Coturnix japonica: one gene and its partner. The protein of the gene in region 2 purifies or fractionates together with the protein of the main gene of each other region. This does not show direct contact. Links are inferred from orthologs where the notes say so. Each region holds a gene or a part of one and is shown on either strand. Other genes may lie near its edges. The genes, in order: AXIN1 and LRP6.

Region 1 (14,766 bases), on a different chromosome or scaffold from region 2:
GTCAAGGGTAAAGGACAGTGTTCTGATGATAGGTGCCCCAAGAAATCCTCCCTCACAGCTGTCACTAGGAAAGATTCCTTCATCCAAAACAATTCAAGCTATTTCTTTCTTGCCAGCCCATCTGGCATTCAGCCTCCCGGCCATTGTTCTCTGTAACCTCCCCAGCTCAGCGTGGTTTGGTTCTGGACAGACTTCATCTGAACTAGTGGCATTAAATAAAAGTAGATAGATAATTAAATAAAGCATTAGATAAAACAAAGTTATTTAGAAAGAACTGCTTCCTTTCTGGATTGTTGACCCAAAATGGCCAGAGATCTCATTCTGGTCCAGACTGGAGGGCTGTATCCTCCAAAAGCAGCGGGTGTTGGAGCAGCCAGCTCTTGGAGAATGCTGCACCCTTTACTTGGAACAAAGGCATTTGGAGCCCTTCTGATTTTAGAACAATAAAGAGCTTATTTATGGCTCCCTGGGCAGGGCTCTGTGTGCTTACGGGGAGACAGAGGCAGGTTCAAAGTCCTGAGGCTCCTGTGGGTCCTCCTGCAGGCACAGACTCAGCCTGGCTGGGTTTTCATGGAGTGGAGCATGTCTCCTTTCCCAAGTCAGGCCTGTTGTTTGATAAAAGTTTCAATTCCTTTGTTGTGGTAAGCCTTTTGAAGCAGATCAGTGCAGTGTATGCTTGCTGTCCAAGGAGAAAGAGTCCTCAGCAGTGGTCTGTATTGTTTCAGCAGAGGGAATTTGCATTTCTTTTTTCCCAGTACTGTTAGTTTTGGGAGACGTCTGAGTTGCTCATCGTTTGAGCTAGGAATAAAAGCGGACCCATGGGAATGTTCAGAGCATCATACTGCTTGCTGGCTTCCTACAGGTCACCATTACGGGTGCCTACCAGGACAACATTGGGCTCATGGTGTGCTCTTCATCTATAGCAAAGTGAGGTTTATTTCTGATAAATTACACATGGATGGACAAGGGCAAGGACAGCCTCCTGGTGGGGACTGCATCCTTCACATCACCTAGGCTGATATGGGACCTCTGTGAGCTGTTGTGCTGAGTGAAAACCTGCAGAATAAGGTAGTGTGTTTTGCAGATACAGCAGTTTATCAAAGAGAAAGGAAAAAGAGTTCACTGTAAAGGTTCTTAGACACAATTATTTTCATTCAGTCACTTCCAGGCTTTGAGAGAATGCGGATAAATGTGCTGAAGCATGACATAAAATACCAAAGTGGAACTATCTCAAGCTCCCTAGATAAACTAGTGACCTTGAATGTCTTCAGATATTCATTATAATGAGTTGGAGCTGGACTTCTTAAGCATTGCTGGGCCTGGACCTTATTTCACCACACCTTATTTCACCTTATTTCATGAACAGTCACTGGTTGTGACTTGTCAGGTGAGACAGAGGTTTCCTTCATGGGGAGCTGCCATTATTACTGTGTGAGATAGATGGGCTGCATGGTTTTGGGCTCGCCATCTGATGGACACAGCTTCCCTTAGCCAATACTTCCTCAGATACTGAGGAATGGAGAAGCATCACTTGAGTCCTGGCAGCTTCCCATTGAATAGCTGGGAAGGGACTCTCCCTGTCGTGTCTTAGCACTGTGATGCTGCATGATTCAGGCACGTTTCTGAATTACACAAGGTCCAGATGCTAGAACTTGAGCTTTCTGTCCCTCCAAAGGGAAAACGTGTCTTGTCCTTGCACTTGTTGATAGCAGTAAGCATGGAAACAGATTTGGTGGCTGGGCTGACTGAGTTTTGATCTCGGTGAATGAAAAAATGGATGCTTTAAATTGCAACTTGGAACCTGAGTGTCACAGAAGACATGTCCAGCTTCACAGTGCAGTGAGTGGGATACTCATCGTCCTTGCTTTTCTTCCCTTTGCTTTCCATTCAGCAGTTGGCAGAGAGGAAAACGAAGGTTTGCATGCTTTTGTTAGTTCTAAGGCAGAGTGTTCCTTTAGCCTCCTGCACTGGTCTTCATGCTGACTCAGCGTAAATTTGGGTGGTCTCTAATCCTTTTTTAAGGACTCCAAGCTTGATGTCTGTTTCTGGTGCTGCATTTGTTCTTTTGGTATGAGACAGGCTTGTCTATATGTCCTTTTCCCACCATTTGAGACCAGGATATTCATGTTGACCTTTTGTAATTTTAAGGATTATTACTGTATATGTCCCCGAATGGAGTCTGATGCCAAAAGAGCTTAACTACTTTTGGCTCCAGGGCACCTTTGCCTGTGTGAGGGGGTATACGGAGCTGGTACCAGACAGTGAGCTCATGAGCTTCCAACTGATCAGTCCCAAGCCTCACCCCTGTGTCTGCCAGCTTGTCTTCCCTGTGCTCCCATTGGGACAACTGGCATTTCCAATTATTTGTGCCTCCAGGATAAATGTGTGATTTTCATGCACCTTTTGCTAACCACACTGTGTTTTCCCTCCAGCGTACATATCGAATGCCAAAGGATATCCATGTCGAACCAGAAAAGTTTGCTGCAGAACTGATCAATCGTTTGGAAGAAGTACAGAAGGAACGTGAAGCAGAGGAGAAACTGGAGGAGCGCCTTAAACGTGTTCGAGCGGTTAGTGATCTCCTTGTCTCTTGTACCAACCCAGGGATGTTTGCTTAATGCACATGACTGGAATTTCTCAGCTGCCATGAAAGCAACCTGGTTGACTACATTTATCACCTGCATGGGGCTTCTGCAGGCTCCCTACATCAGGTGCAGCATCCAAAATTCTTCTCTTGGGCAGAAAAATGCAGGGATTCCACACAGATGGCTGGGGAAGCCCAACCTATGGCACTGTGTGCTGGAGGCCCTGGTACTGATGGAGCCCTTCGAAACCTGAGTATTTGGTAGATGAACCAAAAGCTTTTAGCTCCTCAACAAGCTCCACAAGGGAGAGAATGAGGGATTGGCAGTCCAATTGTGAGACACCCTGTCAGCAGTACTGACACCTTATCTTTTCTTCTGATGTACTGCATCTCACAGGTAGGTACAGATCCTGTGTGTTTAGGTGTTTATCTTGTGCTGGAGACACAGGGACTTTTCAGAGGGCATCATAGTGTTATTGAACACCACAAATGTCATATGACTACAGCCCTGTGGGAAGAAGTTATGGGACTCCACAGTTAATAGCTGCTGTAGCCTTGAGGCAAAGGCTGTGTGCTGTGCACCCTGCAGCTCTCCTTAAAGCAGAGGTGTTCCTGTCTATCTCAGCAAGCTCTGTGCTTTCAGAGAAGTTGAATGTCTGTGGCAGACCTTTCAAGCTCATTATTTTTAAATACTCATTGATAGTTTTTGAAGTTAATCTAGTATCTCTTTAAACAGAAAAGGCACAATAGGGCTGTGGTATTGATTTAAATCACATTTTTCCAGTGTAAGAAGTGAGGATGCAGGGTAACCTTTGAGCTGCGTTTCATTGCCAAGCATTGTCCATCAGACTCTCTGCACTGCTGTGTTCAGCATCCAGCCAGAAACACACCAGCAAGGTTCTATTTTGTCATTAGGCTCCTGCTCTTTAGGAATTGGTCTGTTTTCTTTACCATACATATTGCTTTCTAGACAAAGCCAATGTGACCAGCAGCATTTCCTATTCGTAGTCCTCCTCCTCCCATAGCTACATTGCTGCCCCCAGCAGTGCCCAGCTACGTTAGCCCTGCTCTCTACCACCCTGAAGAAGTTGCCAGTAGCAATACCATAAAATCAGCAAATGCCTATGCCAGAGAATAAATTTAAGTCTGTCTAAACATATTTTTGTGTGACTTAATCTATTTTTAATCCCCAGCCTCCCACTATTGCTATGTATTAAACCTCTTTGCTGTCTACAGAATATATTTCATTGACTGGCTGGCATTTAGCATTAACCATTCAGGAAAAACTCAGAGTAAGCAACTGTAGTTTTTTTAGGTCAGTACTTTGGGTGCAAGAGCTGCTGGAATCAGCAAGAGGAGAGCTTGGATCCTCAGAGATCACAGTCCTGAGCACTAGGACTACAGGGTGACCTCTTACTGGTTCTGCATGGCTCATTGCACAGGGGAAACCATACGGCATTACTCACACTGGGCAGTTATCAGCTTAGCAGAGAAGCTGGAAATATTTTGCAAAAGCTTCAAAAAAAAGGTTTCTCCACCCCATACTGGGCTGCCTGCAGGTTCCCTTTCAAAGCCACATCATACAGCAGCATCTGAAAGAGATACCTGATAGAGAACCAGATGTCTTCTGCTGGAAAAAAAATAATAGGATTGTTTTTTTTTAAAGAAAACAACAAACCTAAAAGCTCTGAATTTGTTAATTATGTTGAGCAGGTGCAGGAGGTGATGGGAGGATGCTGCCTTGTTACTTTCTCAGCTGTATGGGAGCTGCAGGACTGCCTCCCAACCCAGTGAGTTTCAAATAAGCCAAGTGCAGGAGAAGTAAAACCATTGCTGAGATGCTCAATATTTGAGTGTAAAACGTTGTCTGAGTAGAGGGAAAATGCACTTTGCTTGAAGATATAAATGCACTCCTGTGCTAGGTGAGCTATTTCAGCCTGGCAGCCTGCAGGTGGGACTGGGAGATGTGGGGAGATGTGAAAGCAAGATATTGCTTATCCATAGCTCAGCAGCGCCTGTTCAGCCTCCCGGCTCCAAGGGAAGGACTCAGGCTGGGCTGTAGAGTAAAAATAGCTCAGCAGGCAGTCGGCAAAGTCGAAGCATCCGTCTCACTGTCGCTGGCTGTGCAAGCTGGCAGAGGATGTGCCTGCCGGTACCACGTCCCCCAAGCACCACCTAGTGGCTGTGCCACCTGAGGCTGCCCGGCACGGGCTGCAGGCAGCAGGGACCTGCATAGGGCACAGCCCTGGGCAGGAGTGGAGGCTGGTCCTCCTGGCTCCTCATGTTTGTGTGCAGCAGGCCCAGAAGTGCCAGGTGAGGGGCTGACTTGTGCCCAGTGCAGCTGCACTGAGCTCCTGGTTGTCTGGGGGGAGCCAACTTCCCAGAGCTTGGTGAAACAGATGAGCTGAGACAGGGCACAGTGAGACAGTGCATCCCTCCCCTTCCCTTAGCCCACCCTGACCTCAGTCCTTGAGCAGAACAATGTGGGTACCAGCCCTAAAAGCCTCCAAAGTATCGAGTGTGTGGCTGTGTTATCATAACCTGCTCATAATCATTTAACTCAGCATTATGGGTTTAGGCTGCACATACTCTGTCTTGTTCCTAAACCAGCTGTGCAGAGATGGGGTTTTACAGGCTGCAGTGTTGTCACTGGAGATGAAAGGTGCTCCTGAAGGTTTTAAAAGCAGTCTGTGAGAAGTGGGCTGTCTCCTGTGGGAATGGGTATCACGTCAGCCTGAGCTCCAGATCTGCAGAGTGACCTGCTGTCATCTGAGTCACTGTAACAGTGCTGCTGTGCTGTGGGATCAGCCTTGTTCCGAGGTGTTTGCACAACAGCCCGTTTCTGATCCCTGCCACATGGTGAGGCGGGTCTGAACAACTTCTGAAGTAGGTTCATATTGCAGAGAGAGGGGAATGTAAAGAGAAAACATTTGCAGTTCTCTGCCATGTTCCGCACCTGATTCATCTGCTGGGACTCGTTCTGTTGCATGCTTTTGCTCTGGGCAGCCCTGCTCTGCTCCTACCAGCTCTGAGCTCACCATGCTGCTCGGAGGGCTGGGCAGCAGCGTGGCCCCCTGGAGGAGCTGCTGGCAGAGGGCACAGCAGGCGCCCACATCTTCGGTGCTTTCAAAGGCTGCCATTGTCCTTGGCTGAGTTCTGAACCCCCAGGTGTGACGTGGGGAGGAAGTCTGTTATTTGCTTTCTCGCACTGTGGTTGGCAGCTGAGACTTTGAAGCTGAATAGCAAGTGATGGATGGGGACATCCGACAGGCAGAGCTGGTGGGAGGCAGTGTTTTCCAGCAGATGCACTTATCTGGCAGGGCAGAGATACCACACGCTGCAAATGATTCTCTGCTCCAAAGGAAGAAAAGAGAGCGGGATTAAAGCACTTGCATGGAATCCTACTTATGTAATTTTTAACAAATAAGAAGCCTGTTTTCCAATGAAGAAACTTCATAAATATTTGAGTTTATGTTGGAGCATAAAATCGTTTGTCAGCATCAAAACTGTGGCTGTCAGCACGGAGGAGTTTTATTCTTCCTGGCACAGCTGTAAGAGCCACTAACAGCAGCGTGTCCGAGGCTGCTGTGGGCCACGAGAGCAAGCAGGCAGTTACAGCCATTTCTTTATCTGCGTGGAGGGTTTGGCTGCAGTGTCAGTGGCTACAGGAAGGTGCCACAGCCTGGGGCAGGGCTCCAAAGAAGGGAACATCTCTCTATGTTGAACATATTCACAACATGGCTGGCCAAAGCCAAGGGTGACCCATCCGTGTGTTGGTAACAGTCGTGCTGTGAGCAGGAAGACCCCACAGACTTCTTCTGCCACCTTGCTGTCATTATAATTGTCCTCTTGTTTCTTGCAGGAAGAAGAAGGCGAGGATGCAGATCTCTCTTCTGGTCCTTCAGTCCTCAGCCACAAGATGCCTTCCGCCCAACCTTTTCATCACTTTGCCCCTCGCTACTCCGAGATGGGCTGTGCTGGGATGCAGATGAGAGATGCACATGAAGAAAACCCAGAAAGCATCCTGGATGAACACGTGCAACGTGTGATGAAAACACCAGGCTGTCAGTCTCCAGGCCCCGGCCGCCATTCGCCCAAGCCACGGTCTCCAGAAAGTGGCCACTTAGGGAAGCTGTCAGGGACACTTGGAACGATTCCTCCAGGGCATGGCAAACACACAACGAAATCAGGAATGAAACTGGATGCAGCTAACTTATACCACCATAAACATGTCTACCACCACATCCATCACCACAGCATGATGAAACCAAAAGAGCAAATTGAGGCCGAGGCCACTCAGAGAGTGCAGAACAGCTTTGCTTGGAATGTAGATTCACATAACTATGCAACAAAGTCAAGAAACTACTCTGAAAACTTGGGCATGGCCCCTGTCCCCATGGACTCTTTAGGCTACAGGTGAGTAGGGCAGCAGGGTGGCTGGGCCATATTTTCTTACAGGACGTGGCTTAAGGGCCTCCCACTGCGCTTCCTTTCAGAAATGAATATGCTTCCTAACAGCACTTAAAATCTCTGTGACCTGGTGATGAAATCCTCTAACCAGGATTTTTACTGGCCTTGGCTATAAAGTAGCACTTCTGCTCCTTAAAGCAGCAGAGGTGCTGGGGCTTCCCTGTGCTTTGGGAGGTGATAAAAGTAGGGCTGTGTCTCGGGATCTGGGTAACAGAAACCAGGTTCTTAAGCTGTTTATGAGAGAACAAAAAGGTTCATCTTTTTGCAAGGCCTGTTTTATTCACCAGAAGGTTTCCTTTCTCTTCCTGGCTAAGCAGTGGATGTTCTGGTGCTGCTGTGGCCTGCTATCCCAAGGGGACATTCTCCCTGACAGGGGCTTCTTTAGATGCAGTTCAGGATTCAGCTGGCTTTCTGGGCTGCAGTGCACACTGCTCATGTTCAGTTTTGCAATGACCACCCAATTCCTCCATCTTCTATCTGTGTGCTGAATGGAGAGGGTGAAGCTCATTCTCTGCAGCAGCAGGTTTTGCTAGTCCTGTGTTTGCATTACTGCAAAGGTGAGGCTCAGGGCTACCTTGAATAATGAATGCTGATTGTAAGTGTGGAGAAACTGCAGTGCAGAGCTCATTAGCTCCTTGAGGTGTGTTGTCTGGGAGCAGTGTACTGGGGGTAGGATATTTAGTGAAGACAGGCAGCCAGATCAATGTGTAGGAGCAACTTTATGGGGTGGGAGAAGGGAGGCAGAGCGCAGGGGCAGCTGAAGCAAACTGCTTTCCAGGTGGGGAAGAAGGGCCCCCACGTCTGCCCAGCTTCCATAGGAAAAGGGCTAAGATATGGCTGGGTTGGTTCTACAGAGCATGCCATGCTGGATCAACCCAGAGCCCCATCTAAGTACAGAGCTCCTCTCTAGCACTGTCTGCAACACATGCTTAAAGGAAATGTCAGAGGGTGCATTCAGAGCTGTCCTTTCTTTAGCACAAACTCCCAGTTCCTGATTCTCCCCAGGGTAGGAGCCTCGTAAGAGAAGAGTTCACATCTGAACAGTCTTGTTCTTTTTTCTGTCAGTGCTAATGAGCATACAGAAGTAAAGCAGGTGGGTGATCAGGATGCGGGGGTGGCCGGTAAAACTGCTGGCTATGGCAATGACAGGCCAGCACTGTGCAGCCCCATGAGCATGTAGGTGCCTGGCTGCACTGCTGGGCAAATGGGCAGCACGTTGCCAAGGAGGGATGGGATAATTGTAGTGATGTGCTATAGCCATAAACATAGCCAGGGCCTTTCCATAACTGCCTGGTTTCAATCTAGCTGTAGTCTGATGGGACTGTATTACCCAGGTTGGTGACAGCCTGCAGAAGGCATTATAAATGTTTAAGTACAACATGAAGCCTCAGTTCAAGTGGTGGTGAGAAACAAGTGCTTGGCATGGCAGAACGGCAGGAGGGGGTTTGGGGTGCTAGTGAACCTGTAAGCAAGTGTGAGGATGGCACAGGAAGGGCTCTGAGTAAGAGCAGTGATCTGACACGGAGAGGCAGCCAATGGATTGCAGCACCAGGCTGATCCTCGTGCTCTGAGCCTGTTAATCATGTTGGAGCAGAGAACTGAGGGTTGAACACAATCCTTTATGTGGCAGGAGATCTGCTGGGCTTTTTTGCTGCATTGCCGTGGCTTGTTTGCCAGATGCATTCCCTGTTTTGCATGTGGGACAGGGAGCCTGATGTGCCTCAGGCTAACCAACCTTGCCCTGAGCCTTAGCCATGGCACAGTTGGTTGAGCTGTAGTAGAACCAAGCAGACCCTGGCAGGGCTGAATGTGTCCAAGAGAGACGTGTCCATCCTCTGCCACTGTCTGTGGAGGTTTGGCTTAGGCAAAGCGCTAATGTCTCAAGCTTTGTTCTTGCAGTGGGAAAGCAAGTCTGCTCTCAAAAAGAAATATTAAGAAGACCGATTCAGGGAAAAGTGATGGTGCCAACTATGAGATGCCAGGATCTCCTGAAGACGTGGAGAGAAACCAGAAGATCCTTCAGTGGATCATAGAAGGAGAGAAGGAGATCAGCAGGCATAAGAAAACAAACCATGGGTAAGGGCTGGTAGAGTGAGGAGTCTTCATGCTGTCCTATTGTATCCCCTGCGTAAGGCACATATAGGCTGTGCAGTGGTCTGCCTTGTTCCTGGAGGTCTTGGGAAGACAAGCATCCACCAGGCACAAGGGTTAAGGTCCTTTGGAGACTGAGGATTGCTTGGGAGCTTTAAGCATAAAATTCATTTACTTTCCTGAAGAATGAATTGTGGTGGTGGGAGGAGGTTGAAGCCTCAGAGGAATCTCACAAATTGCTGCTGTGGGTACAGAATGGATAATGAGGCACACAGTAGGCAGTATTTTTGCTTTAGGCACTTTCTGTACATAAACAGCTGTCAGTTGTGCAAAGTGTTGATAGAAATGTAGGTCCTGCTGCACTGAAGCCATTGGTCCAGAGTTAGCAGTTTAAGAGGGCTCAGGTAAGGAGAACTGGGTTGCCCAGCGTTTGGGCTTGTTGAGAGCATCCTCTGGACAGTTTTTTGCCTTGTTTCACAATAGTAGCTGAGATAAGTTGCTCTGCAGGCAGCTGGGGCCGTGCCAGAGCCATGGGCAGTGCCGCAGGGGCTGGCAAGGATGAGCACAGTGCTGCAACATCCACTGCCCATCAGTGGCTCACAGCCTGGCAGTGCACATCAGGGCGTCTTCTGGCGGATCCTGCTGAACAAATTTGATCCATCATTGAGCTGCCTTCTGCTGGGTTTGTTTCTATTGTGCATTTCATGGTATCATCTGGACGTGCACGTGTGCAGAGTGACTCAGCAGCCTGTGTAAAACCTTTGTATTTGTGTGTAGCTCTTCAGGTGCTAAGAAGCAGCTGTCCCACGACATGGTCCGACCCCTCTCCATTGAGCGGCCTGTTGCAGTGCATCCGTGGGTCAGTGCCCAGCTCCGGAACGTCGTCCAGCCTTCACATCCTTTCATCCAAGATCCTACCATGCCACCCAACCCAGCACCCAACCCACTCACCCAGTTGGAAGAAGCTCGCAGGAGGTTGGAGGAGGAGGAAAAGAGAGCTGGAAAACTCCCACTGAAACAAAGGTATGGCCATGGGGTCTGAGTATGCATGGGAGAAAAGGGGGGAGGCTGCTCTGTGACTGGGGAGCCATGGGAGGTGCTGTGCTCCAGTTTCCAGCACTAACTGAGTGGAGGCACCTGCAGAGAGGTCAGGGAAGCCTCCTCATTCTCTCTGACATGGCTTCTGACAGGCAAATGCCACAAGCTGCCTTAAGGCCTGGGCTTGAGTTTTGTGGATTGGAAGTCTGGAAATGTTCTGAATGAGCCTGGGCAGGTGGAGCCTGTTTAGAAATAGCATGAGAGGGAAGAGCGCTCTTTGTAGAACTAGTCAGCGTCCGGTTTGCTGTACTCACCTCATCTTCACCAGCACACTCGTGGTTCGTTCACACACTGGTTGCAGAGTTCTTGGTTGGTGCAGTGGCAAAATTCAGCAGAATGCAGCAAAATTAAGTGCAGAAGAATATGTATGTGCTCTTTATCTACATCTCATTCAATCTTCCAGCAAAGGAAGCTTGTGGCAGCTCAGGGGGAGCGCTGCACACTGCTGCAGCAGTATTGTTCTCTGCATGCCTGTATCCAAGTCACTGCAGCTTCCTGTGACTCAGCTCAATGCCTGTTGCAGAGCTAATTCTTCTGCTCCCGTATTATCTTTCAGGGAGGATTAGTTGCAAGGCACACAGAGCTCTCAGATGAAAAACATTTTGGAAGTGCTTGATAATTACTGTTAAGAACTAAAAGCACTTTGACCATTAAAAACCTTTCACAATGGGAATTGCTTGTAGTCACTTCATTGCTTTATAGCTGTGTTCTGAAAACTCTAAACTTTGGAGTCTGACATTCAGAAACATGAGTGTAATTTAAAGAACAAGCTCCTCTAATTGCTGAGCTGCAATTATTTGTGCTTGCAGTGGTCATGTAGCAGACTTCTGCATATTTATATCAGAGCATTGATTGGAAGCTAAATAATTAGAGGGCTCTCCCACGTCGGCTTGGGCCAGGCTTATTTGATCTAACTTTCACTTGGTGTAATTGGATAAGGTTTATTTGTGGAGTCATTTATAGTCATATTAAATTCATACACCTTCCCAAGAAACGTCTAGGTGCAGATGCACACTTGGGAAACACCAGCCTGGGCTTTATGCATGTGTCTTGAATACTCTAATAACAACTTGGCAGCTTTTGTAGAAACCCCATGGCGTTGTGGTATGTGCCCTTCAGACCAGCAGGAGAACAGGCTGAGCCACGCTGGGCCGTTCTGCTTTCACACTTGTGCTGCCTCCTCACAGTGTTTGAGGCTGGGCCATTGATCTTTGGGAGCCTATGCAAGCTGAAGTGTCCAGTGCTGGCTGACCTGACCTCTTGTGCCCATTGTGTTGGTGGAGAGCCTTGTCCCGGTGGTTGCTTGCCTGTGCAGTCAGTTTTTGAGCCATTTTCTGTAGCTCACTGTCACAGTGCACATACGTTTCCAGCTGGAAGAAGTAATTAGTAGCAGCTCTGCAGAGAAGAGATTTTCGTAAGCAGCAAAAGAATTTTCTAGTCTCTCCAGCAAAAATGTTAGCGTGAGCTTGGTTTGGAATTAGTTTGATTGGGCCAGGCCTGGAAGAGGAGCAGAGCTGGATGCTGGGACACCTCCTGAGGTAACATCTGCTGGCTGTATTTCAGGCTTTCCACAGCTCTTTGGCCCCAGGGCTGGGATGGAGCAAACCTCCCCTGTGCTGGGCATGGCAGCATCACAGCTGGGCTGTGTCTGTGCTCTGACACAGGCTGAGTTAGTGCTGGTCATAGAACCATAGAATCACAGCATGGTTGGGTTGGAAGAGACCTTACAGCCCCCCCCCCAGTCCCACCCCTGCCATGATCTGGCTGCCTCCCCAGCTCAAGGCTCCTTGGGCAGGGTAAGGTGCAGTAAGGCAGTCAGCACTGCATTTATCTTGCTGGGTAACATTTCCTGCTTGTGACAAACTTTGCAAAGGGAGCTGAGGCCAGAAGAAGGAACAGAGAGTTAATTGTGTGTGTTCATGGAGAGGGTACACTGCAGACCCAGGGGATGGGTGCAGATGGAGGCTCCAATGAGGCAGGGTTCAGGCGTGCTGTGATGGAGCAGCACACTCAGCAGGGGCCCATCTGGGTTAGAAGTGGCCTCGGGAGGTTTCTGTGCGATGATGGCAGCAGAGATGGTTGTGTTGTCATGTTCTCAGGGGAGGAATGTCTGGAAAACTGTGTTGTCAATGATTCCTTATTCATCATCCCTGCTTCAGTTTGCTAGAGATCTGGGGACGTGTGTGTATTCTGTGATGCTTTAAAGGGTGATGTTCCTTCCTGCAAGGAGGCACCAAACCTTTGGCTCTTGTCCCATCACTGGTGGCCTCCTGGGGTCCTGTCAGAAAGAACCAGGCGGCTCTTTCTCCCTCACATGCTTTCCAGAAGCCACACGGTCCCCACAGCCCCTTTCTGAGCCTGGGGAAGAGGAGCACAGCAGCCAGTCTGAGGTGGCTGCAAAGCAGCTTTTCAGGCACAAATTACACAGTGGGAGGAGGAAGGCTCCCAGCCATTGGCACAATCCTGCTCTGGCTTTATCATGGCAGAGCTGGGGAGCTCGAGGTGTTGGTTGTGACAGTCCTGCCTGCCCCCCCAGTGACCAAGGAGCTGCCCTCCAGCAGCCTAAGCACCATGCTGCATGCACAGCGTGTGTCATTGCATCCCCACCAGCCTCCGTGCCAGCTCCCCTGGGCACCAGCAGCTCTCTCATAGTCATGACTCGTTTCCAGCAGCATTAAGAGAAGCTGAGGGACTCTGAGGTTTTCCAAACCCCTTCAATTAACTCCTGGCTCACAGGATACACAGAATTTGCCTGAATTTATGACCCGTTTTTCCTTTAAACACATGATTTTATTTTTTATTTTTTCCAGAGGATGATTCAATTCCTTAATGTTTTTCTGCCTAAAGGGCATCCTGTGCTTTGATACAGGGATGGCTTCTAAGAGCTGTGCTGGCACAAGGAGCTCCATCACCTCTTGGGATGCTGCAGTTTCTCCAATGGTCTCCAGAGCAGAGCAGGCACCAGGAGCATTATGAGCTGAACTTTAGACCTCTCATGGCTTTAGAAAGAGGTGACAGAGTTCTCCCTGGTCTTGGTTTGCAGTGCCAATGTTATTGTGGACGTGCCATTACAAAGGTGCTGTGACTGTATTTAAAGGTTGAGGTCACAGCCATTTCCAACACTGCCATTAGCTCATGTGCTTGGCGTATTCTGCTCTTATAGCAACTTTCCAGTCCTATAAATACAAAATCATCCTTTTTTTTTTCTCCTTTTTTTTCCCTTTTACCCCGTGTGCCTTTTAAATGATTTTAAAGCTGCCAAATCTGTTTTATGTGATTCTGAAAGAGAAGGCTGCCTCTGGCTGAGACCACACATGCCAAGCAACGCATTTGTGTAGGCTGCTCAAATGTTTGTGCAGCATTTACAGCGCCCCAGATGAAAGGCTCCACACAAGTGCAAAGTGCCCTTATTTTGATTGTTGCTACTTTTGTCTGACTCTGAAAATGAGGCGAGGACTGGACACTTTCAATCTGGTGATGGCACCAAGTAGCAAATGCCAGTGTGTGGGCTGGAGGGAAGGAGCAGACCGACATCCCGACAGGCAGGAAGGTGTGAGAGGTTCCAGGTCTGCTCACTGGAGGTTTGAGGATGGTGTCTGCCTTCCAAAATCCAGCCTGCAGCCCAGCCAGGCCTTGCATGATGGAGCAAGACAGGATGGGGTGAGCAGCAAAGCACACAGGGTTTGGCACATCCCAGAGCTGCACATGAGAACTCCAAATGCTTCACAAAGGGAGTTGCTAGCTGATATGGATGGCACTTTCTTCTCCTTGTCTATGATATGAAGGCTTCTCCTGCAGACTGAGCCCTGGGAGCCATCACCGAAGCACTGCTTGTACTGAGGTCCAGGTAGCAAGCCTTGAAGCCTGAAGCCCAAGCACAGTGGTGCACACCGGTGGTGACACTGGTTGGCTGCAGTGGGTGTGTGATGCTCTGCCTTGCTCTGCCTAAACCAATTGCTCTCAGAGTTCAGTGCTGCAGGAAAGCCACTTCAAAGCCTGTCCCTGGGATGGGTTTCTGCAGCATGAAGGGGCTGAGCTGGAACCTGTGCCCTGTTCCTCCTATCTATGAGCTGGCCTCCATCCAGCCTTTCTAAGTGCTGTTCACCAGCCTGAGTGCACAGATGTATGCCAAGAAAGGTGGTCAGAGTAAAAGATGTTTCCTGAGGGCCCTGAGTGTTACTTTGGCACCTCCATACAGAAAGGCTCCAGTTCTCTGCAGATAAATGAAGGTCTGGACCTGCATCCCCTGCCTGGGCAGCCCCTCACCCCAACCAGCACCCAGTGCTGCCGATGATGCTGAGTCTGTGCCAAGCACCATAGGCCGATACTCAGGACATTGCTTGTGATTTTGTACAACAGGTTGAAGCCCCAGAAGAGACCAGGCAGCGGAGCATCCCAGCCATGTGAGAACATCGTGGTCGCTTATTACTTCTGTGGAGAGCCCATCCCATATCGCACCCTCGTCAAAGGGCGCGTGGTGACACTGGGACAGTTCAAGGAGCTGCTGACCAAGAAAGGGAACT
Region 2 (15,529 bases):
GAGCCCACAAAAAGTTACATCTGAACCACAACAAAAACTGTAGCTTAAAAATCCCACAGCCCATAGGATGTAAAGTGGTGAACCAATTAAAAAAAATAATCATTTTAACAGATAAAAAACACTTCAAGTTTCTTTTTTCTTTTTCAATTGAGAGGTAATTATAGTCTATCAGAATCTGTCATACTTTCAACTTGTCCAGTTGCCTGTTCCGTAAGTTCCTGTTTGCTCCTTTTCTACTTCCAATGATCCATGACACCTCTTAGTGTCACAAGATCAATGTTATCTTCAACAGGCTCATTTCTCTTGTACTCATGGTAATTCAGCCTAGTTAGGGCAATTAACATCAATTCATTTTCCTCACCCCCCTTTTTCAATGCATTTCCAAACCTTGGCAATGCTGTTCTTCCACCTCGCCTAGCTACAAGGCCCACTCCCAAGCTAATTTAATAAATCAGCAAAACGTTTGCCTTGGTTAGTGAGTTGAATCACCTCAAAAGAGTTTCAGCAGACTCAGAAGTGAACACGAGGCAAGCAACAGGGTGCTAAGAGGGAAGCAGATCCCCCCATCCTCCTGGCAGCCCTGATCCAGATGAGACTGCAGCAAGAGCCTTCCCCTCAGCTCCAGTTCCCACTGTAGGTCTTCAGCCCCCCTTCTGCATTGGCACTAGCACTCAGACAGCATCACAGCAAGATAATGCAGGCAGTTAAACTAGCAGAAAGCCACCTTACTCCTTCCTCATCTATTTTTTGCCAGTTATCAGCTCGAATGAAATCAGATAAATGTAAATACTAGTACAACAGGGTGAGTCAGGATAACATCATCTTTGACAGATTAGCTGAACCAGTTGTTTGTGAACCTCCAATTCAGGAACAAGACCTTCCAGACTAGAGGTGTCCACTGTAGTTTGTGGCAACCTCCACCAGAATCCCAGCACTGCCAGTCATGCTGGGCAAATGTTCACGCATGGAAAGAAGTATCCAGACAGGAAGGCACTGCTAATAGTCGTTACAGTGGAAGATGATGTCTTCAGATTGGAAAAAAAAATCCCCCTCTTCCACATATTGGTGAAGAAATCTGAGCATTTGAAGGTACTTAACACAGTTCACTGACACTAGGACACAAACACGACAAGTGGAAGAAAGGAGACACAGTGGTGAGACACACCAAACAGCCATGCACTCTCTTGGATAAGGCACAGGAAGCACAAGGAATTTGCCAGACACCTTGATGGAAAAACATGCACCCACAACCAGACCACACGGGAAAGAAAAGCAAGGAAGTAGGTACAGATAACCAGCAAAGATCATTAGCTGCAACTTCCTCAAATCTGTTGTGTACAGAAAATTCTTGGTATGTACTACAATCCTCCCCTTTCCCATGATGTCTCACAGATAGCCAATAAAAGAACATACAACAAATTCTCTTGGAGGTGAGCATTTAGGTACAGTGAATGGAGTGCTCTCCTCTGTCTGAACCTCCTTACTCTCACAAATATAGCTGCAAAACATTGCAGGCAGCCAGACTTGAGGAAATTAACCTGAGGCAGCCCAAGCTTGATGGAGGAGTTTAGAAGGTCTTTAGAAGACCTAAAGCATATTTCACATCCTAAAGCCATCCAAGGAGGTGACAACTCTGAAGGTCAGAGGAACAGGCAGGCTTGCCAATGGATGGGAAGAGTGAGAACACCAGTGCCAAAGCAAAGACACCAAACAGCAGCAATGGCACTTGGATTCCGCAACAAGTCTCTACTGGACTCTGGCCAGACAGGAGCTGTTGGGACCAAGACAATGCAGGCAAGACTTGGTTGATATGCTGAATTTGTCCTGCTGACAGCAGCCTAGGATGAACGGAGAGCTATGTTGCCTGGCCAGACCTTTGCTTTCAGCCACATATAAAGCTATGATTTTAAAGAGGAGACCCAAAGTGGCAAGCAAATAAAGGTGATATGACAGCAGCATAACACACTCCCCTTGGACTACAGACTCCAGAAAGGAAAAAGGTTTATAGATGTATGACCACGTAGCACCACAATCCACGTTAACATCTGAAGAACCTCATCAAAACACTTCCTGCTTCTTCAAGCATCTTCATAACCTCCCTTTGCCACTCCTCCAGTTTCTCTAACAGTTGTCAGAACATCGTGTGATACTGCAGAAGTAAACTTCTCTAGTTTACTGGAAACACCTCAATATAAACTGTTAAATGAAGACGTTAACCCACACATACACTGCTGCAGAGCATCTCCCGCTTGCAAAGTATGTTTCTGCACGTACTTTTGCTCATGCAGAAAAAATAAATCTTATTTTGCCTCACTTTAACAACTAGAGCCCTACATCTGAATAGGGATAATATTTTGCAGTTCAAACTAGAAGCCATATGAAGACAAATAAGATAATACTGAAATATATCCATCATTATTTCCTATGGAGCTACTAAAAGTAAGAAAATCAAGAAGCTTTTATCAAATCACTCCTGACACAGTCCAAAGGCTGTAATCCGTTTAAGACCCTCCACTAAATTAGAACACATAGACACTATGCAGGGATGGGTAACAGAGGCAGTCAATTTCAAAGCACCAAGGGAAGCTGAGGACCATAACATATGCCTGGAACACGTACCAGGCTGATGAGAATACTCCAAAGCCTGCTGCTAGCCTGGAATGATTGCAATCCACATGGTTGTCCAGCCTGGGCAGCACAACTCTGTGGGGATATACATCCAGCTGAGAGCAGCTGGGGGATTCACCTGGACTTCTAACAGCTCCCATAGAGGCAAAAACCCACACAGCAAGCAGCACCGCCGGTCTACCTTCAAACCAACATTTTCCACACTGACACAAAGTTCACAGTCATTGAGCTACCCTCAGACAACTTTGCCAGTGATTTATCCCAGCTGGCATGCCCAGCCTCTATGGTGTTTTTCTTAATATTTCTTGAAGCATGTTTCATCAGGTTAAACAAAAACCAAACCAAAATACTCCTTAATTTTTTATTTTATTTTTAATAATTTAAGTGCTATCAGGAAGCTGCAGCAAAGCACAACCTCAGAATTTAGCAGAGAAGAGCTGAGAGGAGATCTGGATGACCAAACAGGAAAGTTGTCAGCGCTACTAAGTGCAGCACAAGAGCAAGCAGTATCTCTCAGCTGCACCACAAACATGCAACTGATGGGAAAGGGGAGGCAGCATCACTGCCCCAGAGCGATGCCATAGCTGCTCCTCTAAAAGTTTTCATTAAACAACGTATCTGCTCTCTGGTGATACTTCAGATTGTGCTTCCCAGGTTAAGCTTGGTGAATAGCAGCATTATCAGTGCATCTGTCATAATAGAAACGAGAAGAAAGTGGAAACAAAATACTTGGAGTACAAGCTTGAAGTTAAAACTTCCATCAGCCAAAAGGAATTCAAACCAAAAGTGCATTTTAAACACAGTCTTAAGACCACATCAATTGTAGTACAGACTATTAAATGGTGATTCCAGTTGAAATAGTCAGTAAGTATAATAATACAACTAATATACAACTAATATACAACTAATATACAACTAATATACAACTAATATACAACTAATATACAACTAACATATATAAAACCCACCACTAACAAGAACCCATAAACACACAAACAATAACAACAAAAACCCTAGAATTATGAACATTAACAATTTACCATATAGGTAAAGGTGAGACTCAGCTATGTTTCTGAATCACCAGAACAGCAATGCATTTCCCAAACGAACATAAAAAGAATCACTAAAACATTTACAGGTAATTTTTTCCCACTCTTCCACTGTTCTTAATTTTAATATTTCTACTCTATAATGTTTGTGTGAGACAGAGATTCTTTGATTCCTGCAGCGTTAACATTTTAAGTAACGCTAACACTACGAGCACAAGCAAAAATTCTACTCCCTGTTTGGATAGAATAATAATGAAAGGAAAAACACCTGAAATTCTCAGTCACCTTCCACATATCCTTAACTTCCTGAACTCATGCAAACACATCTGCCACATTCTAGAACTGTTTGACAATGGATAGAGTAGAATGCTTAATACTGGGCTACTTTGGAGGCATAAGCATTAAAATAATAATAAAGAAAAAGGAAAAAAATGCACTTTTACTGTAGGAATGGATCAAGTTAAAAAATAAATTAATTAAAAAAAAGCAGGAGAAAGAAGGGGAAAATAATAGTATCAGAGAATAAAAACAAATGATTTTTTGATCAAGCAAAATTATATAGTTAGTTGATTAAGATTTTTCTGTGTCAGATACGATTACTACTCAAATCCGACATCAAGAGCTCACACATGGCCCTTATAAGCAGAATTAAAACTCTAATCCCATTTCTGCCACATTTATTATATCACGAGGGAGTAGTTCTATTTAGGTAACGTGATCCTGTAACAAGATACTGAAAAAAGTCGGCATGAGTGCTGCAATTTTCCATGTCTGTTTATATTTAAAACATTTCTCTTATTGTTCTATTCATATAAATAGTGAAACTCAAAAAACATTCCATCTTCTTATGCTGACACATTTTCTCCAGCTTTTGTAACAGTTTGCAAAGGAAACATAATATTTCTAATCCATAGAACTTCTTAAGCTACACTTTGAGTGGAATGTTCTTAAAAATATACTGTAAATTAAACGCCAAAAAAACAAAGGTATTAAAGTATTCACATTGTGGTTGTAGGTCATTAGACCTAATACTGTTTCAAACCAGGTAGGCGACAGTGCCAACTGCTTTGAAATAAACAGGTCTGTAGCACGACAGTCGCCAGGATACAAAGAAAAGTCTATTTTTGTAGCCATAGTGCAGGGGGATAAAACAACAAGGGAAAAAAAAAGGAGAAACAATAAGAAGTTCAGCAGTCAGACCAAGCAGACTAAGTCCTTTTGTCCGTGCAAAGTAAATAGGGAGCCTCATCACATAGTGAACCTCTTTCCATAAGTATTCACAAACTGCGAGAGTATCTACAAAGCTTGATAAAGGCTCTCTAACTGTTGACTTGCCTGCTAAATATAAATAGGAAAAAGTTGTTTAGGGTCGATAGTCAGCATTTACTGGCTACATTAATCCACTAGAGACACAATGCAATGCTTTCTCCTGAGCCTTGGACAACTACTGCAAAAGAAAGATGCAGCTTCTTCGTTTGGGTCAATACTCTGAAGCGTTAAACTCTGAAACTGCACCAGCTGGGTGTAAGTTGGTTAAGTCAAGGTTATTAAAGGGGAATCAATTTCTTTCACCTAATAAAGAGAGGTGCCAGCACATCCCCCTGAAAGAGCCATAACTACAACTGCTCAACTCACAAGTGTAGTCACAGAAAATTCATCACTTCCACAAGCTGACAAGCCACACTGTTCAGGTTCAATGCCTCATCTCCCACGCCAGCAATGCCAGCTACCTCATATGACCACACGCAACCATTCCCAAAGTCTGTGAGGTGCCTGCATCCACTCTCCTCATATCTTTCTGAGCAGCTTACACCACTAAGCCCATCTGTGGAACATTCCTGACCAAGGTAAACCATGTTTCACTGGCAACAGTTCCTTTCAAGGTACAAATGGCCCTTCATGTGTCATCACAGGAGTGGGTGGCAGCACGGAATTTCACCAGCCACATACTTGTTATGAACTAAGCCTGTCTCAGGTGAACTTGCAGATGAGCAAGGGCTCCCCAGCAGCAGGTCAGGCACGCAGATCTGACAGAACAGCTGGCTCCTCAAGAAGTAGCAGTATGCAACAATGTCCCCAAAAAGACTGCACAGAATCATAGAATTACACAGGTTGGAAAAGGTCTCAAAGATCGTCAAGTCCAACCACAGCCTAACCATAGTACCCTAACTCTAACAACCCTCTGCTAAATCATATCCCTGTGCACCACATCCAAATGCATCTTAAACACATCCAGGGATGGTGACTCAGCCACCTCCCTGCGGAGCCTATTCCAGTGTTTAACTACCCTTCCTGTAAAGAAGTGTTTCCTAACATCCAACCTAAACTTACCTTGGCACAACTTGAGGCCATTTCCCCTCATCCTGTCGCCTGTCACCAGTGAGAAGAGACTGGCATCTCTGGTATCACTCAACAACAGCACATACCCTTCCCTGTAGTACAAGGATGTGGACGTCTTGAAGAAGCCACCAGCAAATCAACCCAAGCAGTTAGCATTTCATAGGAAATTAATGAGGTTAAATATGCTGAGGTAAAAGAATATAGTGTCTGAATCTGGAGACTGGCTGCCAGAAGAGATAAACGGTGACAGATCAGAAGCCGAGACTTGTTTCTCTGTTTTTTCTCTTACCCATTCCCTCAGAAGAAAGAATACTATTTGTGCTCCACTGGATTTTAATTAGAAAGTAAAGCCCTTTATATATGCATTGTTGCTGATATTTTGAAGCTGGCATTTTTGACACGTGACATCATCATAAAGGTAGTTACATATGTCCAAAGGAATCAGATTTCTCCAGTTCCCAAAGGCAGAGTTTAAAATGTTCCTATGCTCCAGCTCTTGAGCTATATCTCTACCCATATCTCTACTCATTCTATAACTTCCAGACAAATTCCCCCTATTATCTAGAACTCAAATGCAGATGTAACCCATTCAGAAGGGAAAAAAGGAAACCTGATTAATGCTCCTCTAACCAGTGTTTTTGAGAAACACAAGAAAGATTTGACCCAAATATCTGTAGAGAACTCCCACTGAAGGACACAAGGAGCCCATCATCTTTATACACCTATGACTAGATCCACATACCCCACTGCTTCCTCATATCTCTGGCACATCTTGCCACAAACACTTCTTCCTGTCCTAATTTTTCTGTTAAAATATATATATATATTAATAAAAAAAATAAAGTTAAGGCAGTCTAATGAGAGCAAGCTATCAGAGAGATACAACTGCAAAAACTATTAAAACAATGCTGGATGTTTTATAACACCTTAGATAACACTAATTTTAGAATGTACTATGGAGAGATGAAAGAGGAAAATGCATTGGAAATCACAGCAGACAAAGTTGTGCTGATTTCTAAGGAATCACACAATGGAAAATGTGACTAGAAAACGGTCACTTTCCAACTCTGGGGAGAAAAACACCTCCAGTCAGATTAGCAAGACTTGAACATTAAACTCTTCTTAACTATGTCCAAATTAGTCTATCTAAAACAATACAAAAAAGCAAAGCTGTTCTGCTTATCAAAAGGAAGTTATTCATAACAACAGATTCAAGCTCTCTTCTCTCTTCTCTTAGCTTTTAAAAGCCTAATACCAAAGAGACATTTTCAACTCTTCACTAACTGATTAGTTAATCAGCACAAAGGTCTGCAACATCCACTATAGTCTACACAAACATCATTGATAAGATCTCTATTCAAACAAGAGCTTTATGCACTTTCTGCACAATCAGGGCTTTAAAAAACAACAAACAACAAACAAACAGCAATTGCGTGATGACTAGAGCTATTTCTGGGACAAAAGCAAGCCAAGAATACTTGGGAAGGTAGAACTACCTCTTTAACACTTTTTAATAAGTTGAAACCTGTTTCACACTTATCTGTAGTTCCCTGACAGATGTGATGCCACTGCTACTGCCTCTTTGCAATTGCCAGTTACCTAACAAGAGCTTGACTGGTTTCACAGCTGCCATGAAGAACACACAGAGTGACCAGAGGAAAGGTCTTACTGACTTGTCTGTCCAGATCCTAGAGGAGCAGCCTCAGGAAACACTGCTAAAGTTCAGAGTCCCCCAGATCAAACCAAAGACCAAGAGAGGAGCACAAAGGCCGGGCGGGTGAGACTGGGCAGATTCCAGGAAAGCAATCCCTTTCTCCTATCGTACAGCACAAGGGAGAAACAAATCAAAGAAACACATTCACACAAACCTCCACAGCCAGCTGTTGTGACATCAGCTCATCTCATACTAATCTAAATAGCTGCCTTTGAATAGTCAGTATGGTCTGCTTATCACAGTTCTCAGATTACTCGACAGAAAGGTGCCTTGGGGTGTGCTTCCAGTTCTGGATCAGAAAGGTCCAGTACTTCTCCAAGTCCTTACTAGTTCATAAGGTACCACACTTCCAGGCTACCAGTTTTACCCCCTTCCAGACTGATAAGCCAGTTTTCTTGCACTAATAATCACAGTTCAGTTGTAAGCCTCTGTCCATTTGTGTTGTGTTTGTTTTTGTTGTTGTTAAGTAAGAGCAGGGAGGCGAGCTCTCTAAACAGAGGATGCTGTAATTCACAAACATATTTTCCAGGTTTCAGCCTCCAATGCTGAGTTTAAACTCCAATGCTGAGTTAGTTGACTTAGCAGCCTTCACAGCACCAAATTCACAAACCAAGTAGCGAACGTCATCACTTCAGCTCTACTTTCATGTATAAACTTATTCATACTTATTCTGGCACTGCCTCTGCCTCATTAAGGAACAGCTGACACTTCGTATGAACTCAACACATCTTATTCAAACCAATTCTGCCTGCGAAGACGTTGTTTATTAAAAAGGATGTATGCATTCATATTTTATTCTTGTTTCTTCAGAGTTCAGCTGTTCCTGCTGCTTATATCATCCTTAAGTAACAATTAAGGAAATTACTATCACGTCACAAACATAAGACTATGAATTTAGGTGGAAGATCCAACAGAAGGAACACACAGAAACAGAAGAAAGGGGACTATTGCTCGGATACAAACATCTTGGCAATAGATAAAGACGACAGATGTGAAGAAATGACAGTCCAGATAGTTCACAAACTGAATGTTTCTTCAAAGTTTATTTAAGCATCACTGGATACGCTAAAAAGAGCAGCAGGACACGTCACTGTTCTGAAATTCATTTGAAGAAGTGGCTGTCGCAGCTCTGATATCATGCAATGGTGCTGCCATTTGAATTAAACTGCAATTGAGAAGCAAATGAGTGGTTTATTAAGAACAGGTATGGTCGTTACATAATAAAACTAACCAGGAAACTATTCCTCTCCCTGCTCTGGATCCAACCTTACTTTTGAAAACTGAAGTTTCCCCGCTCCAATTGGAAGCGAACTGTTACAGTGTATTTAAATAAGTATACTTGTATCCTTACAAACAGGATACAATATGGCAAACAGATGCATAGGAAAAAAAAAAAAAAAGAAGGGAAGGGAGTATGGAAGAGTGGAAAATTTTTTGTTTTGTGGAGTATCGAACAACCGGCTACTGAGCAGTTCCTTCAGCTCAAAACACCTCTATTGATCTTTCGTGGATAAATGTTGAGAACGGAGTAATTTTCTATATCAAACACGGTTGATGAACTATCAGTTATTAACCACTTGCATCCTCTAGCGCAGAATAAGATGAGAAAATTGCAAGATGATGGATGCAAACATCGCAGGTGATTTCTTCCCAACAGTAAACAGACTGAAACCGACGCAGGAGTTAAGTTCACAATACCCAGAGAAACCCGGTTTTAACGCCGAGACAGAAATCCTCCTCCTGAAGCAGGAATCGCAGAGGGGGGCAGCGGAACCCAGGCGCCCCGGGGGACCGGCAACAGCCCCTTGCCGGGCACCGGGGACCGATAAGGAGCCGCCCGGCAGCGGGGAACCCACTTCTAGGGGAAGCCCCGAACCGCCGGGGCAAAGGAGGAAAGGGGAAAAGAAGGGAAAACGAACAGCTCTGGCGAGGACACGAAGAGCGGCGGGGCGACCCGAGACACTCGCGCCCGAGCCGCGTTGCCGCCGGCAGGGCCGGGACCGCGGAGGGAGCCGGGGCCGTTCGGTGCCTTTTTACTCTCTTTTTATTAAAAAGCCAAACTTGAAGGCGGCAACAATGGGCCGGCCCCGCCGGCAAGCAGGCCGCTCCCCTCCCGCCCGGGCAAACATGGCCCCTCGCAACACGGCCGTCAACTTTTCCCCACCGCCTCCTCCTCCTTCTCCTCCTCCTCCCGCCCCCCGCTCACCTCGCATCAGGGAACAAAAACTGCAGGCGAGCAGGCTCCGCAGGACGGCCCCCATCTTCCCTCGCTCCGCGCTCTCACCGGCGGGGCGGCGGCGAGGAGCAGTCCCTCCGCTGCCACTTCATGCTGCCCGGCGGGCGGGGAGGCGGGGAGGAGGGCCGGGCAGCGGCGAAGGGCGGCCGCCGAGCCCCCCTAGCAGGCCGCTGGCCCCACCGCGCCGCAGCGGCACCGAGCGCTCCCCTGCATGCCGGCCTCCGCGCCGCCGCCGTGGCCGCTCGCCATCCACTCTCCGCTCTCTCGCTCGCCCGGCCTCCGCCTCCGCCGGGCGCGCACAGGCGCAGGGATACAGCCCTCCTCCTCCTCCTCCTCCTCCTCCTCTCCTCCTCCTCCCCCGGCCCGGCCCGGCCTGGCCCCCGCCCCGCACTGCGCCGCGCCCGCCCGTCTCCGCGCTCCCGCCGCACCGCCCGCCTTCTCGGGCGGGGAGCGAGCGGGCGGGCAGGAGGCGGCGCGCACGCAACGACGGCGGGGAAGCGCCCGGCGGCACGGCGGGCAGCTCTGCCTCGGGCGGGGCGTGGGGCGAGGGCGGGCGGGCGCGGCCCACGGGCGGCCGTGGGCAGGGCCAGGGGTCGGACGGGGGGAGCCGGCCCGACGCCGCCGTCGCATTCCAGCGGGACTATTTCCGCGGTGTTTCGCACGCACACGCCTCCGCCGCCTTTTTGGGTGCGATGCGGCCGTCGGAGCAACACCGGCCCGGGAGGGACGGGACTACTTTCAGTCACACAGCGGCGGCGGCCGCACAAAGGCGGCTGATCCCCTCCGCCCGCAGGTGAGGGCTGCTCGGCCGCTGTGGTGGTTCCCGAGTGAAGGGCGGGCTGCGGTGCCACAGCCTTTCCTCGAGCATCTCTGTGGTGCTGCCCCGTGGGCGAAGATACTTCGGTATTTGTGCTACATCTCACGGGACGTCCCTCCTCTCCTCCGTTCCGTGGGATGAAGCTACGAGGCAGAACGACTTGAAGCACGATTTGAGATCCTCGCGTTCAGAAGTCCGTATTATTTTTCAGGGTTGTTAGGAACTTATGGAAACATTTAACTTTTAATTTCGTATCTGTTGAACATATATTTTCATAGCTTTTCTTGTGATTACAGTAGGAGATAACATCTGGGCCAGATTAAAGGCCCAGGCATTGCAAACCGGCTCTGACATCAGACTCTGGCAGTCATGTGATGATATCAGACTTAGAGATTCTACTGGGGAAAAACTGCAAGTTAAAACTTTTTAGAGAAAGAAGTATAAGTCTTTATCAGTGACACTGATGATGGAATTGAGTGCACACTCAGCAAGTTTGCTGATGACACCAAGCTGAGTGGTGTGGTCGATACGGTGGAAGGAAGCGATGCCGTTGAGAGGGACCTCGACAGGCTGGAAAGCTGGGCTCGGGTGAACCTAATGAGGTTCAACACGGCAAAGAGCAAGGTTTTGCACTTGGGCTGGAAGAACCCCAGGCACCTGTACAGGCTGGGAGGAGTGATCTTTGAGAGCAGCTCGGCAGAGAAGGACCTGGGGGTCCTGATGGATGAGAAACTGAACATGAGCCAGCAGTGCGCTCTTGCAGCTCGGAAAGCAAATGGGATCCTGGGCTCCATCAGGAGAGGGGTGGCCATCAGCGATAGGGAGGTGATTGTCCCTCTTTACTCTGCTCTTGTGAGGCCCCATCTGGAGTACTGTGTCCAGGTGTGGAGCCCTCAGTACAAGAAAGATGTGGAGCTGTTGGACAGGGTCCAGAGGAGGGTGGCAAAAGAGGACTGGAGCACCTCCCCTATGAGGACAGGCTGAGGGAGCTGGGCTTGTACAGCCTGGAGAAAAGAAGGCTGTGGGGTTGACCTCATTGCAGCCTTTCAATACCTGAAGGGAACCAATATCCAGGAGGGGAGTAAACTCTTCGAAAGGGCTGATAATAGCAGGACACGGGGAAATGGATTTAAGTTAAAAGAGGAAAGATTTAGGTTGGATGTTAGGGGGAAGTTCTTCACTAGGAGAGTGGTTAGGCCCTGGAACAGGCTGCCCAGGGAGGTTGTGGATGCCCCGTCCTTGGAGGTGTTCAAGACCAGGTTGGACGGGGCCCTGGGCAACCTGATCTAGTAAATGTGTATGTTTGGTGGCCCTGCCAGGCAGGGGGGTTGGAGCTTCATGATCCTTGAGGTCCCTTCCAACCTGGGTCATTCTGTGTTTAATTCTGTGTGTATACATCCAACTTGGAAAGTTGTTTAACAAAGGGGGGGCGGGGGGGAAGTCTTGAAAATGTAAACAACAGCAATAGCTGCCTGAAGGCAGGTCTGCGTTTAAATATGTCTTTGACTCCACCAGGTGGAATAACCTCCTCTGTTGCTGCAGTGTCAGCCAGGAGGATAGAAGACTCAAGCAAGAACCATGACAGTGGAGGAGAAGGGCTTCCTGTGAATAGATGTACCTGAGAGTGGATGAATCTTAGCGTACCCTTGTTGTCATAACTGGATTTTGTGGGAGCAGACAGAAGCAGCACAGCATTCTATTAATTTTCACTGAGCAGCTGAAATCAAAGGAAACAGCAATTCACAGCGTTGCATAATCAGTGATTAACCTTTTGTGAAGTATTGCAAGTCCGTTGTGAATTCTTCATACCTTAATAACACAATGGACAGCTGAGAGAAAAGTCAAGCCTGAACCCTCAAATGACACATTTCTCTATGAGCTGTTCCCTCTTGCAGGTTGTATTCCTTTTTCTTTTGCTGGAAACACAACGGTGTTTTGGTTATCTCCCTTGGGAGCCGGATCCCCTGCCTGTTGGCTCTCCCATCTTCCCCACCATCCCATCTGACTGGCTTTATTTTTAGCTTACAAACATTACATGCTGTCACCCATCATGAATTTGACCATTTCTCTATATTTCAAAGACCTTTCCTTTCCTGATAGGATTTCTTCTAAGTCACTGACCGATTAGTGGCTTGACTTATGTATCCCCTTTTCTCCATATGCCTCATAGAGACAGTCCTCTCTCTAATCAAGCCTAGGTAGCATCTTTAAAAACTATTTTCTATTAAATGCTTAAGATTCAAGGCCAAACCCATGTTGTATCTGTTTCTCAGCTTTAATTCTATTTTGTACACACAGGAGGAACTCGGCTGTAAAGGTTTTTACAAATTAAACCAGATTACCTCACACAGAAAAGATTCTGACAGCCAGGTTCCTCTGAAATACTTACATTCTTTTATTTGATCTTAAAGTTAAGATGAAGGAAATAGGAGAATGTTTCTTCTATTACAGTAGGAAGCTCCTCTTGTTGGCTATAATTATTTTTATTAATCTTATGAACGGAAGTGTTCACTTGCTCATTCAAATCCAGTCAGACTGACTGTCAAGAAATCTGTACAGTGTTATTCCTACCGCTAGATTCGGATGGTGATTCAATGATACAAGAACTTTCACAAGAATTTTGTTATACTCGGGTTAGTTCCCTAGTTTGATTCATAATACAGCTTCACAAGCATTTCTGTCAGCACAGAGCACAGCCAGGAGTGGAAGCTGGAGCTCCTGAAACCAGTAGTAACTCAAGTCTCTGCACCTTTGAACAGTGCCCTGGGTTGCAGTGAAGTCGGTGGGATCCACTGTGGAATGGGGACTGAAGTCCCTAATGAACAAAAGTTGTTAGCAGAAGATGGTTGCATGGCAAATGAATTTGTGGCTGCCCACATCACAGAAACCACTATCATAATTAGTTCCCTTGCTGAATGTCTCAACAAGAGTTAATGGGCATGGCATGGTGAAATCCTGGTCCCTCTGAAGTCAATGGCAAAACTCTCACCAACTTCAAAAGGGTCAAGTTTCATACTGAAACTCTAGCTCAAGTCCTCTCTTGCATCCATAAGGAAAGACAGAAGCAAAGTAGCATAGAAATTGGGATGTGAAATAGTGATGACTTCATCAGTGATGTCAGTTACAACAATTTCACAGGTAAAATAGGACACCGTGACTCCAATCGAGTCCCTTTCTTTTTCTTTTTTTACTCATATTTGGAGTTGCTTCTTTTCCTTGCTCTTCGGTGCTACCTTATTTGTTTCTCCACATTAAGTGTAATACCTGTTCTTTTTTTACCATCTCCTCTTTCAGAAGATGCTGCCTGGTGTCCAAGATGGGAACTGCATTTCTTTGTGGCTGCAAAAAATCCTTACAACAAAAAACTTCACAGAGAAGGTCCTCGAGTTCAGCAGAGTGTAGGGGTAAGCTAGTCCAACAGGATTCCAGCGACAACCTGAAGGGGAAATATAAAAGAGATGACCCTATAGGCTTCGGCTTTTTCTTTATACCTTTCGAGGAGAGTTTGGACGCCTGCTGATGGTCTAGCCAAGATCAGGCTGTTTATCTGCTGCTTCTTTTCTGCTCTTCCATCTCCCAGGGAGTTGAAAACAACACTGCCTCAGGATATACTTCTTCAGCTGTAGTACTTTCAACATGAACCATATAGGATTCTGATTTTAATTTGGCACTGCCCACCAGGCCATAGGGCAAGCCCAATGCTTTCCTTATGAAAGCCACGTAGCCACGGCTATATTTCAAAGCTAAATTATGAAGTCATTTTAGAAAGTTAGAGTTCTAAAATTTGTGAAGAACTGTAATGCTGGGTTGATACAGCTAAAATACCCTTTCAAAAGAGATCGCATTGCAGACTGACAGATACCAAAACACTATTTTAGTTCAGTTTGCAAGGATTTTCAAAACCAGACAGCATCTGGGCTCTATTAACAACAACACGCATGCATTTTAAACAACAACAATTGAAGAAGAATTCATTTTCAGAACACTTTCGTGGGACTCAGTATTTTGCCATACATATCCATAGGACTTGAAAGTTATGCTTTGCACTGTAGCCTTTCAAGTTTGAAAATTAGTTCCTGGTAAAGGGTTGGACATTTGTACACACTATTACAGTCATAGGGATAAATTACTGGAACGCATGCCTTATTATGGTCAAGAAAGGTAAGTTTCAGTGATAAGCCATCGTTCGTACAACACTTCATTCTTTATGCAATATAGACATTGTGACGCACCATCTGTGCACAGGAAAGAGCTCTTTTGAAATTTGAAGTAGCTTCCTCTGAGCTAAAGCACAGTAATAACGATGCATGTGGGAAAGCTGCAGTTCATAATAACAAAAGAGAATCACCCTTCTTCAGTTCAAAATCTGTGGAGAAGATTTATGATTATGTTTATCTACATCCCTATCTTTATAGATTTATATTTATTTAGTCTGCAATTCAGCCAAGACTCCTGGCACAATGAGAAAATGGCTATGTATCTCCTTAACTGTGATACCACTTCAGGGGGGTTGTTTATATGAGCTGTTGAAGAAGCCCTCAAACTATTTCAGGAAAGCAGGACGAGTTACTTGCACACTTCCTTGGAGGTGTTCAACACGCTTGTTGTTCAGCACACACACTTGGAGGTTTTCAAGACCAGGTTGGATGGGGCCATGGGCAACCTGATCTAGTAAATGTGTATGTTTGGTGGCCCTGCCAGGCAGGGGGGTTGGAACTACATGATCCTTGAGGTCCCTTCCAACC

The links.
Region 1: the proteins of LRP6 (region 2) and AXIN1 purify together in Homo sapiens (affinity purification with western blotting; 7 studies listed by BioGRID and IntAct, with this or other methods). This does not show direct contact. The link is inferred for Coturnix japonica from reciprocal best matches to the Homo sapiens genes LRP6 and AXIN1.

Annotation. Positions count from the first base shown.
Region 1 is NC_029529.1:10,792,378-10,807,143, forward strand, and holds part of AXIN1 (axin-1), read left to right. Parts: intron 1-2,432; coding exon 2,433-2,570; intron 2,571-6,446; coding exon 6,447-7,000; intron 7,001-8,953; coding exon 8,954-9,130; intron 9,131-9,922; coding exon 9,923-10,168; intron 10,169-14,602; coding exon 14,603-14,766. UniProt on the Homo sapiens protein: Component of the beta-catenin destruction complex required for regulating CTNNB1 levels through phosphorylation and ubiquitination, and modulating Wnt-signaling.
Region 2 is NC_029516.1:66,019,563-66,035,091, forward strand, and holds the start of LRP6 (low-density lipoprotein receptor-related protein 6), read right to left. Parts: upstream 10,275-15,529; 5' UTR 9,993-10,274; coding exon 9,938-9,992; intron 1-9,937. UniProt on the Homo sapiens protein: Component of the Wnt-Fzd-LRP5-LRP6 complex that triggers beta-catenin signaling through inducing aggregation of receptor-ligand complexes into ribosome-sized signalosomes.